Linked DNA regions of Nothobranchius furzeri. The protein of the gene in region 1 purifies or fractionates together with the protein of each later gene. This does not show direct contact. Links are inferred from orthologs where the notes say so. Each region holds a gene or a part of one and is shown on either strand. Other genes may lie near its edges.

Region 1 (4,085 bases):
TATTTTTGCATGTTATCTCCTGAGTGATACGGTGAATTCTGAGCAACAAAAGTTTTTATTAAATAAAATTTTTCCTAAGAACTTACTTCTGCCTTATCATTTTCCAGCGTTCCAAGTGGTCACTTATTAGGGATTCTGACACAGGAGCATCACTTGACTGTGAAAAGAGTAACCTTATTCACCATTTTTATACATCTGAAGATTTGTACAATTCTATTTCTCTCTCTCACACACACACACACAAAACGAAGAGAAAAAAAATGTAACGTTCAAGCACCTTTGTAACGATGGGTTTTTCAATTTGTTGAATCCTGAGATTGATGGGTTCACCTGAAGGGCTAACTGGGCTGGGAGCAGGAGGGGGGAGTCGGTACACATTCTGACCTTTGCCGTTTATCATGTCTGTTACCTGGGGCAAGGATAGAACACAAATAACAGAGAGCTCAGGTATGATGGCTAAAGAGATGGTGCAATACTGCCATCTTTAGGGGACTTACTGGTAAAATCTCGACTCATTTCAAAATTCATAAATTTGTTTTAGGCAATGAAAAAACACACAGTTTGTAAGTTTCATTAATATATTACACTGCTTTTCAAACTCGATGCACTTAAAAACCATTAACTTTTCAAGGAAATTACACAAACATGCAGACTGACAATCACAAGTTAAATTTACAATTAAATAAAGTTCATAACTTGGTAAACAACAATTACAATAATAATAATAATTTAATTGTGAAGAGGGGTAGGAGACAAATATTATTTTCACACAAATTGTGTACAATGAAACTTATTTTAAACAATTAAATTAGAAGAAATATTTTGTAAACTATACACACTTTTTCTCTTATGGTTGTTTTGCTTTCATTTCCTTTAAACAAAATTAAATCAATTAAATAATGATGACAGGAATGTGCAGCCTTACTTCTTCCTCCAACATGCTGTGTGGGGAGTTTGGGGAAGCTGTTGGCTCTCGAACAGAAGGGTTGTTTCTCATCCAGGCACGGCAAATTGGATATAAAGGGGTGCTGGTGTTAAACTGAGCCAAATCAACACTGCGATCAAACAACTTAATAACATAAGCATCTAGAACAAAGGCAAAGGAAACACACATCAGGGTAAATAATACTACCGTGTCATTTAATGGAATGTGAGTTGAGTTTACTTTGTTTATGCGGATTGGTTTCTGGTATGCCCTCATCCATCTCCTTCCGTTTCTTCCTTCGATGCTGTGGAAATCTTGCTGAAGGTCTGAAAATAAAATGAAAACAAACATGAGGACTTGCAAAAAGGCTTAAAAAACTGAAATATTTTCTGTACTAAATAACTGAATTCATATAACGATGTGTGCAGATAAAAAATTATGCTGCAATAAAAAAAACAAGAAAATCAAGTATGTGTATGAGGTATTTAGAATTGTATGAGGTATTTGAATAGACTTTACTGATCCCACAGTGAGGAAATTTACTTGTTAGGGCAGCACATACACACAGACATAGGAAAATATAATACAGGTAAACACACAAGAGTATTGGGCTATTACCATAACCTTCAGCAACAAAATAAATGCATAAAAACAGAATAAAATAGAAAATTCATAACTGTTTTCAAGGAGAAAAAGCATAAAAGACACATATAAATGTGCATCTCTGGGTATTGCACATTTATTGCGCATTTACAGAACATAGTACTGATTATTACCTCTTTCCAGCAGAAGATGGAGACAAATCCCTAGAGATAACAAGAGCATTCCATGATTGCACTGAAACACTGTTACAGCTGTTTAAAAATAAAGTGTGAATCCTTCTTCATAATAAAAAGATAAAATCACAAAAAAACTAATCCATACTTGTGCAAGGAGTCCACTGATAATTTTCCTGGATCACCCTCATTTGGTTCTCTGATGAGAGTACAATTAAAAGCATTTAATCATTTGAAAGCATAGCTATGGTCAAGTGTGTTTTACTAACCTCTCATTTTCGCTCTTCTCTACAAGACCCTTTAACACAGCATCCAACTTGCTGCGTGCAGCGGTGTTCTCTGCATCTAGGTAACATAAAAAGCAGATCGATTTAGAGCTAGGTCTCTCGTTTTTGGGCTCTAATGTTATGTATATTGTATCTTTAAAGCAAGCACAAATAGCGAACGAAATTATAACCAATGTTATATTGTGGGTATATCTCACCTAGCCGTTCAGTCTTTATCTTGATGTGGTGCATTGTCTTCTTTTCAGCACTTTTGTAACCTTTTTTAATGTTGAAATTAATTCTTGTTTGATCTCTAACAAAGGGTCCTGGTATCCTGGCTGCAACGGCTGTTTGCCAACAGCACCATTAGCTGACTTACATAGCAGCGCTTAACCAACTGATTATTCGTAAAAGAAAAAGTGAAGAAATTCTATGGCAAAAATATTATTTTATCCTAATGATTTAGACAAAACAACTTTCAATAATTTGCTTCAAATAGTACAGACAACTGGTTTTATTATTCGAACTGTGGAAGGTATTAGCTCAGCTATAGTTGCTAATGTAACTTCAGCTTGCTTCTACAAACTTCCGCGTAACAGGTGTTACCCCGAAATGTGTTCCCTGGTTGAAAACCGTTCCCACTTGGTAGTGTTTTAGCCATCTCCCGGTAAAATGTGTACTTTTTTCCGAGATACATAATAAAAACACAAGGGATGTCTATTTTATGAATTAGTGAGTCAGTTTTATGAGTGGCGTAACCGCGAGCTTATGTCTCACCTAAACACAGAGTTTTTCCCCTCCTGCCCTGATGATTTGTTTGCCGTGCTGGAATGCACAAAAATAACATAATAGATTACTAAGATATTATCTGGCTATTTTCTTAAAATAACGTTGCTTTAAAGACCAGAGATTAAATATAAAAATGAGTGACGCAGGGAAAGAAAACACTTCCGGCGGGGAACACATCTTGATGTAACACCCGAATAGCTGATTGGTGCTTGTTCAAACCACTGTGATTGGACAAATGACATGTGCGCCATTTTAGCGAGGATTTTATTGGCTGAGTGGTGTGGCAAACACCAAAAAAGCGTGACGCTTTTGTGTTTTGTCACCCTTTTTATAGTTTTATAAACTTAGGAAATCTGAGTCTGTAGTAGATGCGGCTGCGTGTAGCTGTTTTAATTTCCTAACTTAAAGGTGATTTGTAGCGTTGGAGTCCATGGTAACTCACGACGCCTAGTGAGAACACTAGGGTTAAAACAAGGAAGAGAACATTTTCCGTTCTTCAATAGTTATGAAATCCAGGTAAGATCCAACAAGCTCCTTTTTATACCACCATAAACAATAGTTTTATCTCTAATGGTTGTTTTTATAGTGGATCTGTGTTTGCAAGGAAGAATCCCTTCACACCTGCATCCTCTGTGAGAAGAGCTCATCATCCATCCCGCAAGCAATCCCTGCCAAAGACAGATGTATGTCAGCTTTGCCAACATTTCTTACCTTTACTCATGTTTGTGTTTTTTAGTCCAGCATTTGGGACGTGATTTATTTTATTTTAGTATTATTATTATTATTATTATTATGCTCTTTGCAGAGTCCTGTGCATCCCAGCCAGAGCTCTAGGAAACAGTGTCACTCCCAGAATGGAGGAAGCCAACAGCTACAGGAGAGTCACGATGGTGGAGATGTTTTTACAGAAATCTGGCCCACCACTGACTACAGGTCCTCTCCTGAAATGCTGGCGTGCGATCTGCCTGCCAGACCAGAGACATCAACAGTTTCCTCAGGAGTTCAGGATGATTCCGTGATGGCAAAGTAAATCTGCTGGTGTTTTTTCACCGTAGAGATGATTGAATTTGTGGGCCTCACAAAGCCATGACGTGTTTTTGTTACAGACACATCGAGCGCTTTGGCCACAGTCAGCCTCAGAAACGGCAGCAGGTGGCTGGAGAAGAGCAGATGCCGTTTGGGTGGATGTTTAACTCATCAGTCCACAGTTCAACTCCTACTAAAGCATCAAACAGTGGTATTATTTTTAACTTCTGCTGTGTTTAGTCACACGACACAGTAAATATTACAAGCTCGTGGGTTGTGTAAAATTTCTGTGACAAACTTTCC
Region 2 (3,096 bases), on another chromosome or scaffold:
CAGAACGGTGACATTTTAGAATCCCTTTAAAAAACATCTAGAAAAGACTGATTTTGGTGGGGGCACCTTTTAAAAACATGACTCCAAAGAGTGTTTTAAAGCAGTGTTTTTATCTGTGAATTAGATGGATTAACCTCACCACGAGCCATGTGGTTCTTTACATAAAGTCTACTGGCTTAAATAAGTTAAAGTTCTTCTTCTAAAAGTGGTTGAGAGCACCTTGATGCCAACGGTTTTGGTTAAACGTGACAGAAAATCCACCGCTCTAGTCATGCAGGAGAGAACAGTTTGTTGGGCCTGGTGTTGGTTTTCTAAATATCTGTCTGCATTAGAAATGCTGTTAATAAGCCTCGTGTGCAGGTAATACAAAAAATATATTCTCTATGTACAAGAGGACAGTGCATATGTCACCAGCTGACTCAGCGAAACTATTCAGCTCCTGACCGGACTGAAAAGAAGGATCTGTTTTTATTCCTGGGGGATGTCCGACACGATTTCAGAGAAGCAAACTCTCTCACACACACACACTCACTCACTCACTCACCCACCCACCCACCCACACACACATTCAGGCATATGGGAAAGCTGACACGCAAGCATAATTTTTTTTGTACACGAGAATCCAAAAATATAATTCCGACTCTTGTTTTTCCTTGGAAAAGTTGTAAGTAAAATGTTTTGTCCTCGTCTTTGTTTCTGCGCTCCCGTCTGAACTCGGCTGGAGCTCTTTTTGCCGATGCAGCCGAGTCCTCGGAGCACTTCCTGCCCCTCTTCTAGTCTTCGCTGTCGGAGAAAACAGGGCAGGAGGACTTGAGGAGAATGAGGACAGATAATCATATTTGGGTAACAGTTTTTGTTTAAATCAAAGGTCAAAGGTTGAGAATGGGCACATCAAAGAGGTCACAAAGACCTTCTGTCTCATCCAAATTGTAAATGTAGTCATGATCACTGGGAGGAGGGGACAGACGAAGGAGAGGCGAGAACACTGAGGGCGAAACACAAACAGGAATTACACAAAGACAGTTTGTTCGTGATGATGTTGCTGCTTTGTCTGTAATCATATTCACCTTCTGATGACATCAAGTCCTCCAGCAGGTCTCCACTCATGATTTCTTTCAGAAAAACAAAGTAAATCCATATTTACCAGCTGCTGCATCCCGTGAAATACTTTCTATTACATGTAGAGACGCGTGTGACTGAATTTACGGTTTAAGAAGGGCTGAAATGGTTTACCTTTAGTTGGATCAAACATGTCTGAAAGCTCTTTGGGAAAGTCCAACACTGAAGGGAAACATTTCAGTAAAACGGTTGCAAAAACACTTTTTACTAAACTTTTCTGAAATGTAATCTGCAAACAAAACAATCAAAACTTATTCTGAAATGTCCTTCACAGCTTTAGAAGAGCCCGACACTCACATTCAGATGGATCCGACTTCATTGGTTCAAACGCAGCAGAGACAGAGGACGACGCGGATCCGTCCAAAGAGGCGGATGACTGTAGCTGCTGAGGAGGAGCAGCAGGTGTGCGTGATGCGGGGCTGAGAGGAGTGGTGCTCGGCGCCTCTGAAACAAAACCAGAGACACAACGTTAATGTGAGAAACTCCAGAGGGAAGTGAAGAAGCAGCAGAAAATAATTCACTCGGTAAAAGGCCCGTTTCTGTATACAACCCCCCAAGGCGCTTCACAACACAATCAGTCATTCACACGTTCACACGCTGGTGGGGATGAGCTACGATGTAGCCACAGCTGCCCTGGGGCGCACTGACAGAGGCGAGGCTGCCGTACACACGTACCACCGGGCCCTCCGACCACCACCAGCAGGTAAGCTGGGTTAAGTGTCTTGCCCAAGGACTCAACAGCAGCATTCTCTGGTCGGAGCCGGGATCGAACCTGGAACCTTCCGATTTCTGGACAACCTGCTCACTCTACCTCCTGAGCTACTTGCTTAATCACTACATGTGCAGCAGTCTCTAGTAGGAACAAATGCCTTTCAAGTCGTACTCGGGGGAAACAAAGCTCAGATGCGCTTGTTTCAGGAACTAGCAGAATGCTACATCAAAGGAGAGCTTAACGCGACAGGAGTCTTACTTCCTGATATGTGGACATCTCGCCTCTGATTGGATAACAGCAACACGACTCTACCACTGACTCTGGCTGCTCTGCAACGTTGATGTTTTATCTCCACAAATAACACAAGCCTGAAGGAGTTCTGCTGTGTGGTGGAGTTGCTAATGCTAACGGTTAGCTTCTACTAGCTGAGGAGTTATCTGCCGTTTCCTGGACGCTAAACCAACAACAGCCTTCCCCGTCGTGAGTCCAGATGAGTGAATCCATGAATGTTAGTGACAGGGTGACGTAGATTTGTCAGGATTTTCTAATCCAAGAGCCGTGGTACTAAATTACGGACCTGGAGGGCCGGTATCAGCACGTCGTCCGTTTTAACTGTTTTAACAAACTGAATTCAATCAGCAGGAAACTAACAGGCTGCTGCACAGGTGGTTCAAACATGCTGGTTAGCAGCTCTCCAGGACCGGGACTGAGAACCACTGTCAGACGCTGATGCAGGACATAGGTGTAGGAGACTTTTTTCATGTTCAGCTTGCATGGAAAAACTCAGAGTGACTGATTATGAACAAAAATAATCATCAAAAACGTTTTTCAGTGAACTACACCTTTAAAACGTTCCCCACCTGTTGTCGTCTGGTTGGCTGCAGAAGCTGGTGTTAAGGCAGGAGCTGCTTTTGTGGCCGTGTCTGGAACTCCTTTGGGACCCTGGAGGGGAAAATGGAACAGAAGAAACGTCAGCATTGCACAAAACGCCAAATGTAACGAAGGAGACTATCGCTCACATTTAAATGGACACCTTACAGTAATCCTTTAGAATAAATTCTATGTTAAGAAATTTCTGTAATTCATGGTAAAGTAAAACAAATGGCCACACACTTGAAATTCAAAGCAGAAGGTTTTTTCCCATCTTAGCTGCTTTTACTGAATCAAAACTGTGGCCTTAACATTAATTAACTATTTTTTACCAAACTTGAGAAGTTTGAACGTTTGAAGAGAAAAACCTGACCGTTAAATACGTTTCCCATCAG

What was found.
Region 2: the proteins of lin37 (region 1) and e2f4 purify together in Homo sapiens (co-immunoprecipitation; 4 studies listed by BioGRID and IntAct, with this or other methods). This does not show direct contact. The link is inferred for Nothobranchius furzeri from reciprocal best matches to the Homo sapiens genes LIN37 and E2F4.

The regions. Positions count from the first base shown.
Region 1 is NC_091745.1:37,814,576-37,818,660, reverse strand, and holds the start of lin37 (protein lin-37 homolog), read right to left. Parts: upstream 2,873-4,085; 5' UTR 2,220-2,872; coding exon 2,186-2,219; intron 2,051-2,185; coding exon of another isoform or gene 2,047-2,050; coding exon 1,971-2,046; intron 1,901-1,970; coding exon 1,850-1,900; intron 1,732-1,849; coding exon 1,702-1,731; intron 1,252-1,701; coding exon 1,166-1,251; intron 1,087-1,165; coding exon 926-1,086; intron 410-925; coding exon 278-409; intron 158-277; coding exon 87-157; intron 1-86. Other genes in the region: proser3 (proline and serine-rich protein 3), read left to right, coding at 3,262-3,272, 3,343-3,439, 3,562-3,782, 3,863-3,993.
Region 2 is NC_091744.1:86,776,889-86,779,984, forward strand, and holds the end of e2f4 (transcription factor E2F4), read right to left. Parts: intron 2,774-3,096; coding exon 2,692-2,773; intron 1,564-2,691; coding exon 1,417-1,563; intron 1,282-1,416; coding exon 1,234-1,281; intron 1,113-1,233; coding exon 1,068-1,112; intron 986-1,067; coding exon 870-985; 3' UTR 655-869; downstream 1-654. UniProt on the Homo sapiens protein: Transcription activator that binds DNA cooperatively with DP proteins through the E2 recognition site, 5'-TTTC[CG]CGC-3' found in the promoter region of a number of genes whose products are involved in cell cycle regulation or in DNA replication.